2 linked regions of the Caenorhabditis elegans genome follow. The protein of the gene in region 2 purifies or fractionates together with the protein of the main gene of each other region. This does not show direct contact. Each region holds a gene or a part of one and is shown on either strand. Other genes may lie near its edges.

Region 1 (7,450 bases), 990 kb from region 2:
TGAAAGCTTGGTTTTTTTCGATTTTCAAGGAACCAAAATTATTTTTTTGCTTGCAGAATGAATAATTAGTAATTAACTTTTTTTCAAAAATACTCCTCGTGCAACTGCGCTCTACCGCACCACCATCCTTTTTCGTTGATTCTACAATATTCGAGCAATTTCTGAATATTGAGCATAATCTTTTTCAGGTGACATTGAAATGAACGTTGCCACATCGAATCCAAATCAAGTGCATCCACATTCAATTGCCGTATTTCCACCAGAAGAACAACAGACAACATCTCGACATTAAACAATATTTCCCCCTCCAACTGAGACCCCCCATTATATAATTCCGCAAGCTCTGTGATATTTGTCTCATTGATCCGGTTATTTATGTCTTTTCCAATCAGCCGGAAAATCATAACGAGTATTTATTTTTGTGTATAATAGTTTTGGTTTTTTGTTTCAAAATTCAATGTTTTTTCAACTCAAAAACCATAGATCCTTGGAAAAAAAACTTGATAATAAAACTGTTCACATGAGTTTTTGCTACAAAAGTGCAAAAAGCAACAAAAAATCGTAATAAATATTGCTATTTTGAAAAACCAAGAAAAAAGTAACATTAAAATCCTAACGGGGGTCGGCTGGATGATTGAACAGGAAATTTGAGGGGAAGGAAAAATGATAATAATAATAATTAGAAATACACTTTGGTATTTATCACTTTATCGATTTTTGGAAGAATTTTGGAAGACGGGCGACAAATAAAATGTATGGTGAGGCAGGGCCAAAAATGGTTGAAATATTTAGAGGATTTTCAAGAGACGGGGAGAATAATCACAACTAGAAAGAAAAAACACAAAATCAATTGATAAACCCATATCCGTTCAACTCGAGCACATTGAAGAAAGAACGGAATTTTCAAAAAAAAAAGAGAAAATAAGAACAATAATAATAATAATTACGGAGAAAGAAAAAACACCAAAGCAAAAAAAGACATGGGACACTGTTGGGAAACGGGAACAAAAAAGAGGGAATGGATATGTCACACGGATGAACTGACTGATGATGGGAACGGCATGGAGGATGAAAATTGATCAACTAATTACCACTAATCTCTCGTTTCAAATGCTGCAGGAATTCTACATATGAATGTGTTGATTCTGACCGATCATCGACAAGTCGCCGTACAAACACGTCACGGAGAGGCGAGTGTTCTCTGCAAAAATTAATTTTTTGAGCAAATCTGATTTTTCCATCAAAGCTTTGAGTGAAACTTTTCAAGAGATATTTCAGATTTTTCAAAGCAAAACTCTACAAAGATTTATGTTTCAAAATACGATACCCGGTCTCGAAGCGTCCTCAAATTCAAATCAAAGCATGCGCCTTTAGGGAGTACTGTAGCTGATAACAATACGTTTTTCACCCGTTTCTTAAATCTTAAGTTATTTTACACATTTGCACAAACTATACGATAAATTCTTTAGAAATGTGTAAAAACGTATACCACGCTCAAAACATAGAGTTTGGAGTAGCCTTTAAAAAATACAGTAGTAATTTTAAAAAGCGTATATCCTTTTTCATTTAAACAAATACTTGGTTGTGTTGAGATCGAAAATCGCAAATTTTTTCAAACGGCTCTGAGTTTTTATTTGGCAAAAAAATTTAGAAAATCAATAAAAACTTTTTTTTCAATAAATGTTAAATTAAAGACTTACTTAATCGTTATTATTGGTCCCAGATAGAATCGGAATTGTGTGACTTGCTTGAAGAACGCGTGCACTCTTCTCGACAATTCATTATCTCTTTCCAGAAGGGAATACTGTAATTTAAAATGTTTTTAAAACTATTCAATTGAAATCTCACCTCATCAATATCATTATACGTAGAAGTTCCGAAAACATTAACCAGGAAACCTGGATCTGCGGATGAAGCCACGTAGACAAAGGCAATAGTACCAGTTATCATCAGATAGACACCTCCACGACTGATATGCTCGAATGATAGTGGTAATGCTGGTGGCGACTGATCTTCTGGCATTGAGGCGAGTTCGTTGAGCCGATAGAGACGTGGATAAATGTCAGACAGAATTTGGTCCAATGGACTGAATCGCATCATCAACATTGCGCCGGCTCGTTCATCTAGGCGGATGCCACGAGACGAGGAGAATGCTGGCTGAAAATTAATTATTTAAATTTATTTAGTTTTTACAAATCAAGGCTTACATGTTTGAGCATAGCCAGCACATAACTTGGGAAGAGCCGAAGATGACCGACACGTGGAACAAGCATTCCACTTCCTCTCGATACAGCCTTCTGATATGCTCCAACACTGTCGACAACTGCATTTACAAGTGCTTCTCTTGAATCAGCAAGTGAACTTCCAGTCATAGATCGTTCTACTCCAATTTTAGCCAGATAGGATACCGTAGCTTTCAGATCAAAATTATTGTAAAGTTGAAGTAGATCACCAGTTGTTGGAAGGCACATTGTATGTACTCGAATACGACGATCACCTTTACTCGATGTATAGAGTAGTGCTGACTGGAAGCATACATATTGCGGAAGCTTCTCTTCGAGTGTCACTTGAGCCGCAAGTGCAGAATCTGGATTCACGTTGGCAAGTGCCAAAAGATCTGGAGATCGGACGAAGAAGTTTCCGTAGAAACCGGTTAGAGCGAGGCCACGAGACGTTCGAATACGAAGAACTGCTTCAAATCCGAGTTTTCGTGTCAAATATCGAGTGAGAGTCCGTTCGAATCGTTTTACTTGATGGATATCATTTCGATAGTTGTAGTTCGGGAAATGGTAGACACATCCTGTCGAGAACTTTGCAATTTCAGCTGAAAATGGAATTATTTTCAATCATTTTGAATTTAACTTTCAAATTTGACAGACAATTTGAAAGCTGCCCCGGATTTGTGGTGTTTCAGACATTTTCTACATTTTTTTAACGAAAAACTGGAATTTTTTCGGATTCAGCATCTACAAATTAACACCTTAAAATCGAGAAAAAAAATTTTGGAAAATCGATCTAACTACGATTTATTAACTGTTTGATTTTTTTTTTTAATTTTCCAGGTATCAAGATAAAAACTGTATTTGCAGAGGTTTTTTGATACACCGAATCTGAAAAATGTCAGTTTTTCGTTTTTAAAAAATTTGACAGCATCCCCTCACCAATAAAAGGAATTCTCCAAAAAAACCTACAAAGAGTTGCCAAATCAGCATATTGCGTGTTGAACATAAACAGATCAAGGCAAATCTGCGATCCGGTGCACTCTAACGATAGAGCTTTGTAGAAATCGGTTGCTGGCCCCAAATTCTGACCACCTTCCGTCGATTCTTCTCTGCTTTTCAGTGCTCCTAATCCAAGATTTGGTAGGCTGACTTGGAAGATTGATATCCTTCCTCCAACTTCTTGTATCATGCTCTGCGCGAGCTTCAATGCAGATCCGAGGCAATTTCCATTTGAAGTTGGGCCGATTTGAGAGTAGAATTCGGGAAGTTGCTTGATAAAAGTTCGAATTGTATCTTTGAATTTCTTCATAGGAACAAGCAGTGATGTGACTGATGGAAGAAAAGCGTCATCGATATCGTCTACAATCATTTCATTCGGATACCGCTTATTACTAGAAAATGAGAAGAAATGCAAGCATTGATCGACAGCAATGAAGCACACTTGAGAACGATCATCTCCTGGCATTTGATCTATATTGATGAGAAGTTGCTCGGCAAATGTGTGTAAATAGCCTGATTGAATTGCTGCAGCACTAATATCAATCACGAATACATAGACAGCAGGTTGAGGTGGACGTAACTGAAATCGCTTGTTTAAATTTAGAAAAACATCGTTTAAAATATGAAAATACCATGTATTCCGATGGAGCAATAAATTCAACCGTCGCATTTTGAATTTCCGGTCTGTTTCGAGGATCTCCGAATGCTTTTGTCACTGGGTCCCAGCAGAAATCATCAGGCACTGAAAACAAAAAATGGTTTTCGCATTTTCTCAATTTCACATTTTTCAGTCAACATACGGTCGTTATTTCTATTACAGAGATTGCATTTCCAGTGTCGATGATCAGGAAGATATACATATGGATTAATATATGTCCGACAATACCGACAACGTACAATATTCGATGTTTGTATAATATTGAGATTCTTAACATCTCGGAACGGATGAAGTGTTATTGCAAATGGTAATCGACTCTTTTTCAGTAGTTCTTCTGTTTGTGGAACTTGGGCGAGTGTTGAGCGGAAAATACTGAAGAGAAAATTATTAATATTTCTAATATCTGCAATAGTAACGATTCTGGATTTTTGCTTGTATAGACTCAAAATTTGGTCAGATGAACCAATTTCTTGATGCGAGATAATCGATCAAAATATGCAATAAAGGATTTAAACTAAATAAAAGTCAAATTCCGACAGCTGCGATTCGAGATTTTAGCTGATATCAGCCAGTAGCGAAGGCATTTTTGAGAAGTCTCACTACGAAATTCGTCCATTCGGCCACATTTTGAGTTTATTTATACAAACAGAATTCCTTCTTCAAGAGAAAATCCTCACTTTGGATCAACATGAGCATTCGGATTCGCGACTTGTTGAGGAATCTGAATCTCGATATCTTCAAAACCAAGTTGTTGAACATTTCTTTCAGCAATCAGATCAATTATATCATTGCGATACCCGCCCATTTGTTGCTGAGGACCAGGAGCTCCGCTCATGTTCTGAAAATCAACTTTATACGGGGAAATAACAAATATGAATAAACCATTTGTCCAAATTGCTGATTCATATTTTGCATTTGAGGTTGTGGGACTTGTGGTTGACCATACTGTGAATTTTGCTGTGGCTGGGGAGGATATCCTTGTTGCTGTGAAGCCGGAGGATAAGCAGCTGGTGCTTGAGGCCGTGGAGCCATTTGTTGCTGATAAGAAGGCGTTGGAGTTGGTGCCGGTGGAGGTTGAGCAGCAGGAAATGGAGCAGGTCGGGCTGAAGCAAGTGCAGATGGGATCGGAGGCTGAATACTTGGAGCTGCTGAACCAACTGATGGTGGTGGAGTTGGAAACGCTGGCGGTCGGGACTGAAATAAAACATTCAATTCTTCTGTATATGCAGTATTAACCATACCACAGCTGGTGGTGGTGGAGCATGATGGCCGTTCATAGAAGGCTGAGTAGCGGGTGAAAAGGACGGTGGTTGATGAGAAAATCCTGCAGAATGAGCTGGAAAAGCTGAAGCTGCAGTTGGATAATTTGGCGCAGCATGGTTATATTGATAACTTGGTGCTCCATTTGGGATTTGAGATACGGGTTTCACCTGAAAATAGAAAATTAAGGAAGGAAATGGAAATATGAAAGTAAAGATGAGAATCAATACATACCGGCTCTTGCGAAGTCGTTGCAGTCGGAAAAGGAAACGGATTGGCTGCATAATTGGGAGGAGCATTATTTAACGGAGCCGCAGATGGTTGAGAAAACTGACTGAATTGTTGGACGTGTTGATATTGTTGATTCTGGTTTTGACCGTACGCCTGCGGAAATCCAACGTTTCCCGGCGCTGTCGGTATATTCGACATCCGTCGATAGCTCGTGTAACCCGCTGAAATTGTATAATGAAATTATATTGCGAGAAAAGAACAAAATAAAACAAGTTCACAACGGTAGATAAATATTTAGCTGACGAGACGAATGAACGTGGCGAAAGAAATTTAATCAATAACTTCAGAGAGTACGGTAGATTTAGATGGGTGCAAACAGAATGACGAACAAATGCACAACTAGAGAAAATCAGTGATCACATTTTTTTCTAATTTTTTTTGCGCGAAAAACCAGCATACTGCTGAACAAATATAATTTATTTTTGGCGCAAATATCGTTTAAATGTTCACTTCAGTTTTTAAAGTCATTATTTTCATTTTCAGCAAAGTTTATAGCGTTTAATAATTAATTGCTCTTGAAATTTGCCTAACTTCGCAACGCTTCGAAATTTCGCGACTCTCTTCTCACCGGCGATCTTTAGAATAGATTTTACAACGTAAACAAAAATATTTATGACAATATTTTCTGATTTTGCTCGAGTATCTCATTGAACACGAAGAATTACGCCATGGAAGGCGACCTCAAGCGCGCGATGCACACAGACACTAGCGTCTCGCGCTCTTTCTCTTTGCCTCGCTGGAAATTCTTTTTCATTTTGCCTTCTTCTCTCGCCACACATTGGCGTCGTCGGTTTCTGCTTCATTGTGAAACGTGGATTTTGCGCTGAAATCAATAAAATCACTGTTTTCTCGCTTTCTCTTTTACTCTTCACTCTCACTCTCAATTTCCACGTAATCCTTGAAATAATTCAGAGGAGCGGAACAAAAAAGAACATTTACTGTACGAAAAATAGGAGAAGAGGTGGAAGAATATCGCCGAGAGGGAGGCCCTCGTATGAACAAAGCGAGAGAAGATCAGCAAGATGTTAAATAATTTTCATAGCGTTCAACACAGGTTTTATTAGTAAGTGAGAAGAAAGTTCCAACTCAGCAATTGGATCAAAAATCGATAATGGAGGGTGTTTTGAGTGTTTTAGTGTAATATAAATGAAAAATTGTCAATTTGATAAAGGTTTCCGAATGTGAAAGCTTCCCCCGAAACTGGTGTTCCTGGATTCTGTAAAAAGTGCGGTTGGCAGAAAACATTGAATGCATACCGTAGTTAGATACGCAGGCATCGCCGCGTTCGCCCGGCCAAGCCTCTATTGGAGCGACCGCCACCACCGCAGAGTGAGAGCGGACACCGTTCTCCAATTGTGTTTCTTAAAATAACAATATTTTGTTACTATTTCAGCCAAACAATCACTTCTGGCGGATGACCGGTATTTTAAATGGTCAGAGTGTTAAAAAGGTACTTTTTGAACCGAAAAAGTGTCATTTAAATGTATCTTGTGTCAATTCTCGAGAGAAATTCCACACAATTTAGTTAGAAAAACTCAAACTTACCTTTTAATAATTTTAAAATCACATTTTGAAAATTTAATTAAATAAAATTACTATTTAGATCAACATAAAAACGGTTTTAATTTTTTAAACTGAAATTCAAAATTTTAAAATTAAAATAAAATAAATTCATAAATTAAAACTATCTGTTGACTTTAATAATTTCAAAAAAAAAAAATTAAAAATGTGGTTATGCCAGTGGCCAGCGTGTATCTCTGATGAAATCATCATCGGTCGCTTCAATATCGATTTTTCGCGGCGGGCCCGCCATCTGCCGTGTACATTGTCGACCACGGACACAGACAGAGCATCATTCATTATTTTTTAACTTTTTCTAACCTACCTGTTAGTACTTTTGTCGGTCGGTGTAAGTTTTCAAGATTTTATCAACACCGAAATTAGATACGGATGATTTAAATCGGGTTTCGTAAGAAGATTGAAAATAAAGTTAGCAAATATTTTCTAAGCTCGTCGTCAC
Region 2 (9,082 bases):
ATTGAGGATGTGAAGAAATGGGAAAAGTTATGAAGATAAACGAATGAAAATGGGTGGAGATTCAAAGATTTGTGTGTGGATGAACAGAACGTTTTTGATATAAAATTGAAACAAGCGAAAGAAGACAAAACAGTTTTTGAGATGGTCTCACAGCGAACTGAGTACTGTAGTAAAAAAAAAATGAAAGGAGCACGCATTGAAAAATTAAATCGTTGCGAGACCGTTTAAACTAATTCAGTCAGTGTCTGAAGCTGATTATAATCAATTTTCTTATATAAATTTAAGATTTTTAAATGTGTCATTTCTCTTGACCATCTTATTACGAATCGGAAAAGGGTGTGTATTTATAGATGTGTAAACAAAAGCGATCAAATCGTAAAACTACGCAAAACTGAACAGGTTGATACTTTTTTCTTCTGGATTGGAAGAGAATAAGATATTTCAATAGGGATTTTTGCCGTCTGAAATCGAAATAAAAACGGATATAAAATTATAATATGTGGGAAAAAAACTCGTTTATTTATAAAGTACTTTAAAATCGAATAAATAAATATTATGACTACAACAAAGAATGATTACAAAGCAGTAAGAAAATTTGGGACTATAAAGCAATATCTAATTTTAAGTATTGGCAGGAATTTTTGGGGGTATTGGAAAGTCGTATTACACGCAATAATTATTTGGGACAAAACAGTTTACACGATTTTACACACGAAGCAAATGAAATATAATATATTCAAAATGTTGGCATTTTTGATAATTGATAATCAAAATCACATAACAATGAAGGCAACACTCTCATTATGACGCGGAGAAGATTAATGAGAGGCGAGCGAAAGAAGCGACTTTAGAGCCGGAAGGAACGACGAAATCTGCAAAAAAGACGAGTTGAACAAATAAGATAATGAAGAGATTATTTCTTTTTGGAGAACAATTCACTGTGCTTTACATATAAAACAATACGAATTGGCTTTCCATTTTTGTTAAATAAATCATAATACAAAATTCACCTCAACAAAATCTCCTGAATTCCGTGCCATTTGTGCCACAACTGCTTGAGCTTCACGAATCTGCCGCATGGAAACAAAGTAAGCCATATGAGTTAGATGCTGCTTCGATTCGGGAGACAACTGAATATTTAGATTTCAAATTATTTTGAAAATTAATGAAACCGTACCCTATTCGCAGCAAGACGCGGTGAGAGCTCTGCCTGAATACGAGTTCTCAAATCCTGAGCTTTTTCCATTCTAGCCTGAATTCTGGCATTTTCAATGATACACTGAGCCAATGTATTAATGGGTTCAATAATTTTCTCATCTTCCGGTGATAATTGGATTGGAGCTGGAGCTACAACGGATGCTGCAGAAGCCGGTCTCTGTTGATAAGAGTTTGGAGATGGAAAAGCTGAAGACGCTGCAGATGATTGTTGATTGTGAATACTCATTCCTGAAAATATAGATATATGCACAAATTGAAGAATTTAGAGTATTACCTTGAATTCCATTAGTCATCACATTTTGATACCCTCCTGCAAATCCGTTCAACTGCTGCCCAGTCATCATTCCACCAGGAGCTTGGGCAGTTTCTATAGGTTTCCAATTGATTTCCATCACATTTTGCTTTGGCTGGGCAACAGTGGTAGGCTTCAAAGCCATTGGAGGAGGATCATTCCAACCGGGAGTAACTGGAGCAACTGGTTTAGATGGTGGCATGTTCGCTGGCATTGTTGGTGGCTGAAATGAAAAGAAACTATGATTCTGTTCCGGATATTATAAAAACTCACTGGTTTATGATCCCATGATGGTGTCTGATAAAAAGTGGAAGATGGTGGCATTGGTGTCAAATTGGAATTTCTTCGATTATTCGAGTAATCCATAGGAGGTGGTGGACATTGAGAATGAGATGGATTATACGGGTTAAAACCATTTACGAGATTCTAAATTTTGGATAAATATATAAATTTAAAGTAAACTAACAAATACCGGTGGGGGAATAGGTGCCGGTTGTTGATATGTCCGTGTCGGTTGAACAATGGGTGGCTGTTGAGCTCTAGGTAGAGCGACATCAAACGGATTAAATGGTGGTTGATCCCCTGTACAATCTCGACCTCCGGCAACATTATAGCAAGTCCATTGAAGCTCTTGCATTTCAGCAGAACCATTTTGAGACCACTTAACCAAATTCCATGCGACGGAACCTGCGCCTTGAATGAGAAGTTCATTGGCGAAGTTCATGATTAGCTAAAAATTATCGTTTACGAGTTTGGAGATAATCTTGATTTTTCTACCTTCTCTAATCCATCCGAATACTTGGCACCTTTCGATACTTGATGAAGTATTAAAGCCTGTTTCAGTCGATCCACTAGTGTGAAGGATGTATTGGCAAGTAAGAGATGATCAATGTCTCCGGCAATCAAAAAAGCAATACAAGCACGGAGAGGTTCTGGAAACAAATTGAATCTATGATGTATTATTTTAAAATTCGCTAACTTCCTTGTTCCAACCATCGCTTTCCAATGCATTTTGCTGCTAATCTGATATCTGTCGCATTTGATTCGTGAGCAATTATGAAGCCAAGAAGCTCTGACCACTTTTGATCGGGGAAAGTTTGGAGAATACTTCCAATTTGCTGAGAAACCTCTTGTTCAGATGATTGCTTTGAAGGAGTGATTTCTGTTTTGTTAGCCGACGAGGACGATGAAAGTGCAAGAATTATAGAAGATAGAGGACTCGAGTTGTTGAATTCTGAAATTTCAAATTATAATTACAATATACAGCTCGAAAACGATTACTTTTATTATAATCATCAAGAATCATTGCCAAATGATCTGTTTCGTGTTGAGCAGCGTACATCATTGCGGCTACGTGTTGATTTGAGGAGATTAGAACACGAATGACTTCAAGATGATCTTGTCGAATTGTATGAAGAAGAAGATCCCATCCTGAGTTATCCAAAGTCGACCAATTAACACTAGAACATCTTTCAATGACTGTTACTTCCGGAATATCAATGTCAGTGTCTGCGCCGGAAACAACAGAAGTTGAACGAGCAGATCTATCAGGTATTGCCGTAGGTTGAATATTTGGATTTGAGACTGCTGATGCTGCGTTCTTCTCGGAAAACTCCTCATCCTGTGATTCTACAAGTCCTAAATAATTTAGCATCTTTGTGCGTCCAGCTCCTTCCTGTAGCGCGAGAAGAATAAGCCAAACTTTTCGTGTAAGATCTGCTTCTTCTGAAGTATCGCTTGATGGGGCATATGCTCTGAAGTTTTTAATTTTGATAATTTTAATCTGAAAATATAATTACCTCTCATGAAGATACCATCCTAAGTTTCGTTTATCATCCTTAATATGTAGATACTGAGCAATGTCGTTGACACCAACATCGTTTTCTGGAACTATCTGAAAATAGAAAAACTTCTGCCTTCTTCCTATATTAAATCCGGAAAGTGCAAGGGTCGTCACTTTTTGCGCAAAAAGTGTAACAAAAAATTTAAAAAGTTGGGTGTGCACTTTCGTCTGTAACTTTGCTGTACCTGCACATTTTTTAATTTTCTTTTTTGTAGGAAATAGAGAATCGCTTTTTCTATCTTATTATCTAAATGGTTATTTGATTTGATTTCATCTTTTAAGAGAAATTCTTGATGAAACACGAAAAAATCACTTTTTTCGCGTGTAGTGTCGCTTTTTTTGCACACGTTTAGAGGTCATAGTATAAAATGTTTTTGATAAGGTAACTGTATATCTGGGATTGATAAAAATTTTTAGTTTTTGCAATTTCATCAATTTTGAACTGAGTTATGATGATTTGAAAATCGGACTCGAAAAATCCCGGAATTTCGAAAATTGCGTTGAAAACATGTTTAACGTTCGTATTTTTGTTTTATTTTACATTATCAAATGTAAATTTTAACGTAGATTCCGTTTTTCTAAATAGTTTTCTCATTATCCAACCGGAAAGTTACGAAAAAAGCATAAATTGACGATTTTTCAATGAAATTGTGCGCAACCCCTTGGTGTGCAAATTAGTGATTTTTGAGATTCTTTCGGCTGTAAGTCGGTCAGTTTGGCACTTTTTGGGGTAAATTTTTCGAAAAACGTATTTTTCAGGAAATTTACTCTTCAAAAATATAATTTTTTTTACAAAAAAGTCAAAAATAACTTCAGAAATCGCAAATTTCTGCATTTTCTCAAAAAAATGACGTTTTTGCTGGAAAAATAAAAAATTTTCCACTACCGAATGGGATTTTATGTTAAATTCGTAATTAGTACATAAATACCGAATGCAAGCTGAAAGCACAGTCCTCTACGATCATTTTCAACGAATTTAGTTTATTTAATTTTTGACCTCGAAATTTCAATTTTCCTCTTTTCCTGGACCAGTTTTCTGTTGGATAATGAATTTTATGTCCTAATTCTTATTATTTTTGCTATGAGAAGCGAGACAAACTAAAATTTTTTGGTCATGAGTTCCTCGAGCCCCGTTCCTGAAGTTGTAGGCTTCAGGCCATGCTTAGGAAGCTCAAAAGTTCATTCTTCACCAATTTCTAAAATTTCAAATGCTATCATATTCTCCTTTTAACGCTGAGTTCAAGTATATACTTTTAATTTTTCAATTCCTACTATGAACAAAGTTACGACGCGTCGAAGTTTGAAAAGTCTTTGCCCGGCCCCCTCCTTCCCCTCATCCGCCAGTGGTAGTTGTATTATTCAACTCACCTGGGTACCCAACTCTTCCCAAAAATCAACATATTTGAATTATCAGTCATATAGTGGAGATATTCTTCTACTCGACACATCGTCACCCCACCATAAACCCCTCAAACATGTCGTCTTTGGCTGTCCACGTGTACATGTACATACAATTGCAATTGTTTTGAATAATTCTTGCCTGTGGCAACCTTTTTGACTATCCCTACAGTATATTTGATTACTTACATATTTTTGTTCTATTATAGCAGGCCGAAGGCCTGCTATACTGGTTCAGGAAGCCACGCAGGCCGTAGGCCTGCGGTGCGAGACCCAAAACATTGCCAATCGCACGTTCGAGGCGAAGCCGAGAACCCGCGCCAGCTAGCGGACTCGCCCCAACCCAACCTCTACTAGCGGGCCCCATAGGGCCCGCTAGTCAAAAACGAGATTTGTTATAAAATTTCAATACCGTTTCAATTTCCACATTATGGTGCCATTGTTGGGTCATTGCATCGTAGGACTTCCAGAATGTTGCCAACCGTCCACCTAATGCTATTGATGAGCCAATTAAGGGAGCACGGTGCCATGCAGGAACAAATTGATCGGAGATCCTAGCGGCAAGTACATCGGCTCCTGGTTGCGGAGATCCAAGACTAGTCAATGAGGATATTTGAACAGGATGTTGGAAATATTGAATAGCAAATTGTGATGGCTCCTCTTCATTCCATTTAACATTTCGGATCCAGTCTCCTTGAAGACTTCCAACACCTCCAAGCACCTCAGATGTTTCGTGATTCCATATAACCACTTGTCCATCACAGCCAGATGAAATTACAAGACGATCATCAGCTTTGTTCCTGTATTAATATTTTTCGTAATTTTTATATAGTTTTTTGTACAAAAATAAATTGTCTAGCTCAATTTTTATTATATAATCAACAAACTTTTAAATAAAAACTTACCAGTCAACACTCGTAATTCCCATATTATGATGTCTGTATTCTTTAACTGGTGTTGAAGTGAATCTCGAATCCCATTTCTGAATAACAGAGGCGTGTTGAGATTGGCTGGAAACTATAAGTTGTGAGGCGTCCGAAGGATTCCAAGAGAGCGAAGACCAATCACAGCCAGGAATCTGCAAATAGAACTTTAATAGCCACCAGGCAATTGAAAATCCAACCTCTGCGAATTCTAACACCGGCGATCCATTTCTTCTCAAATCCCAAAAACTGACTCTTCTGGACGATATGGAAGCAAACACAGACTCGTTCTTCAAGTTCCAGCGAAGAAGTTTCACTTGATCTGGGAAATTTGGCGAACCGGGAGAGAATGGTGTTTTCAGATTTGCGCAATCCCAGAGAAGAATTTGTCCTGAGCCTCCACCAGAAGCCATCCATCTTAAAAATTATTTTTTTGAATTGTTCTTGTAAACTTTCATTTCATACCTGCCGTCCCTGGAAACATCAATAGTGAGAACATGCCCATGATGATCTCTTCGAGAAAGAAGAACTTCTAGTGATTGATTCTTGATAAATTTATCAGCATCAAAAAATACCACAGTTCCGTCCTCTGTACCGCCAGCAATTATTCCGTTCGGATGTGCATCGGAACACAGAGAAGTCCAGGCTAATTCATTGAATCTAAAATTATGAAATACACTATACCGCTTCACATTATAATTCTCACCGATAATTAGTGGCATGCGACACATTCGGGGCCAAATTCGATTTTTCATATATCTCACTTGCTGGCAAAAAATCGATCTTTGGTTCGATTGATGTTGCAGTCGGGTCAAAAAACTGAGCGAAATCAGCAACAATTAAGCCCTGAAAATTTGATTTATTTCAATTATAGACGAAGATTGATTAATTACCTTTTTCTGAATTCCACGTGGACTCCAGACAAATACGCCGGAACGTGAGTAGAGCTTCGAGCTCATCGATCGTGTTCCGTTTAATGAGCAATTGTTGTAACTTTAGCTGTAACGTTGACGTGGATGAATGAGAGCAGCTGAACAGGGAGTAAGTGCGCTCCTTTGCACTCGAACAAATAGGAGGAAGTGAAAGTTTTTAAAAGAGTAGTCTTGATGTAATTCAGACAGCTAGAAACACCGATATCGAACGGAAAAGAAAAATGGCAGAATGAATGTTCCTTAGAATGTTCCGCATATAAAAATTGGGACTCCCAATTTGGGAGGAGTAATTCAAAATATTTCAATATCAAAAAGTGAACTCATCGCACCAATTTTCGAAAAAATAGAAGCTTCTTATTTAAAAATGTTTAAGAAAAATATCAAAAAGAAAATAAAACACTAATTGTTATATGTTTAAGAAATCAGACAATGTTTTTTCAAGTTATGTCGCGCGGACAGAGAAAACAGAGAATACACAAATTCTACTAATAGCTATTGAAAGAAGCGAGGAAAAAAGTTCATTAAAAACCTTAATTTCGCTATTCCCGAAGGAAAACGAAACGATGATTTTAAAAATCAAAAAAAAAATTGATTTTCCGTGGATCTGCAAAACGACGTGAAGTGTCTTTGCGTACTTTTGCATACCGTAGTCAAGTAAGCCGCTAATGTCCAAACTTTCTATTTAAAGTTATAATTATTTAAACCGACTATGAATTTTTAGAAGTTAATTTTTTTGTTTCAGAAAATTAACAAAAAATTGGATGCAATTAAAATTAAATCAACCAAAAAAACATATTTTGGAAAATGGAAACGGTTGGTATTAAAGGATCATGTATGTTGTTAGTTGGGTCTCGCCACGATTGCTAACTAATACCGTACTCTGTTATTTTTGGGCCGCACAATTCTTTAGTTTTTCTTAATTTTGAAAATATCTTGAATTTTCTCATAATATTTTGTTTGTTTTCATTAATTTTATGATCTAAAATTAATTTTTAAAGAATAAAATTGAGCAAATGTATGCCAATACCCATTTCAGACATGTAAAAGTGCAGTAGATCAAAAATTATTTGACCCCAGTTTTAGGCTCGAGCGGGAAATTTTTTGGATTGAGTTTTCAACCTCGAATGTTCCATTTCATTCCTTCTTCATTAGCTCTAATTTTTATTAGTTTCTCCTGAAATGGCGACCATTTTGAACCTTTTCTGTTTTTATTTCGTAAAACTTTTAAGTTAAAATATTCATCCTCTAACTGTTATCAATTTCAGGCGATGGGGCCACAGCTAGCCACCGTCTCGCTGCTTCTACTAACATTTTGTGAGTTTCTGCCTCTTTCTTTTCAATCAAATATTTTTATTTTCCAGTTTCGAATTCTATTCAATACCCGCACTCACCAGCAGCCACAGAATGCCCTGCATACTTCAACGGAAACATAGCAGGAAATGCATGCAGTCGGGAGGTAAACCAGTAGCCCTCCGTTTCAAATATAATTCTTTATTTTCAGTACTCGATATGTGTGAACGGAGTCAGGCAAGCAGCCACCTGCAGCGATGATTCTGTCTTCTACGAAGACGAATGTGTGCCAGTCGACGAATCTCCAGAATGTCGAGTAGATGAAAACACTGAAGAAGATGACACCCCATATGCGGAATTCGACTGCACATCGAAACAGGATGGCATCTACTCCATTGGCTGCTCTAACCAGTTTATCAGCTGCGTCGCCGGCGGAGCCTACATGGCGAAATGTCCTGATAGCTTGGTCTTTAACGAAAGAACCCAAGATTGTCGTGAATCTTGCGACGAAGTGAAACAGGACACAACTACTGCACCACAAGTCTACGAAGATGGTGAAGAAGGATACGGAGAAGCTTCCGGTGAGATTGCTGGAGATTACGAACGTCAACCGTCGAACGAGCAGCCGGATTCAATTGACTTCGATTGCAACGGTCTGGAAGACGGAAACTACGCCGACGGTTGCAATGACGTATTCTACTCATGCAGCAACAACATGGTGTTCCAGAGATACTGTCCACCGGGAACAGTTTTCAATATCAATCAACGTAAGTGCACGTGATCGAGTATTATGTTAATTTCTTCGTTTTTCAGAGTCCTGCGATTTCCAATGCACGACCGATGATCCAACGACCACTGTATCGTACTCAACTTCTACAATCACAACACCGCAAGAAGATGACAGTGAATACAGCTCAACAACTTCCGCTGATGTCATCTCAACAACAACAACACCTTCAATTGATGCTATTGAGACAACTACGACTGGATTTGATGCCGTGACAACGACAACAACGACGCAAACTCCGTTCGTTTGTCAGGAGGGACAAGTCAACTCCTTCGGGATGTGTTCGTCACGATTCAATCGTTGTCAGAACAACTCGGTGCGTTCAAAGCAATGTCCAGTCAACACTCTCTTCGAGTCCTCTCTCGTTATGTGCGTGTTCGATTTGCCACAATGTCAACC

Evidence for each region.
Region 1: the proteins of sec-31 (region 2) and sec-24.2 fractionate together in Caenorhabditis elegans (co-fractionation; one large-scale study listed by BioGRID). This does not show direct contact.

What each region holds. Positions count from the first base shown.
Region 1 is NC_003282.8:12,355,202-12,362,651, forward strand, and holds sec-24.2 (uncharacterized protein), read right to left. Parts: upstream 5,592-7,450; 5' UTR 5,569-5,591; coding exon 5,374-5,568; intron 5,310-5,373; coding exon 5,121-5,309; intron 5,074-5,120; coding exon 4,762-5,073; intron 4,718-4,761; coding exon 4,557-4,717; intron 4,252-4,556; coding exon 4,022-4,251; intron 3,964-4,021; coding exon 3,854-3,963; intron 3,802-3,853; coding exon 3,192-3,801; intron 2,825-3,191; coding exon 2,208-2,824; intron 2,158-2,207; coding exon 1,849-2,157; intron 1,805-1,848; coding exon 1,701-1,804; intron 1,202-1,700; coding exon 1,084-1,201; 3' UTR 501-1,083; downstream 1-500. Other genes in the region: best-22 (Bestrophin homolog), read left to right, coding at 189-292; ZC518.8 (Glutathione S-transferase), read right to left, coding at 6,563-6,646, 6,687-6,707.
Region 2 is NC_003282.8:11,365,120-11,374,201, forward strand, and holds sec-31 (WD_REPEATS_REGION domain-containing protein), read right to left. Parts: upstream 6,674-9,082; 5' UTR 6,634-6,673; coding exon 6,568-6,633; intron 6,521-6,567; coding exon 6,381-6,520; intron 6,335-6,380; coding exon 6,140-6,334; intron 6,092-6,139; coding exon 5,875-6,091; intron 5,830-5,874; coding exon 5,657-5,829; intron 5,552-5,656; coding exon 5,164-5,551; intron 3,405-5,163; coding exon 3,310-3,404; intron 3,265-3,309; coding exon 2,792-3,264; intron 2,745-2,791; coding exon 2,490-2,744; intron 2,443-2,489; coding exon 2,288-2,442; intron 2,241-2,287; coding exon 1,983-2,240; intron 1,937-1,982; coding exon 1,784-1,936; intron 1,734-1,783; coding exon 1,493-1,733; intron 1,447-1,492; coding exon 1,178-1,446; intron 1,131-1,177; coding exon 1,011-1,130; intron 873-1,010; coding exon 819-872; 3' UTR 502-818; downstream 1-501. Other genes in the region: Chitin-binding domain protein cbd-1, read left to right, coding at 7,875-7,920, 7,968-8,062, 8,108-8,663, 8,710-9,082.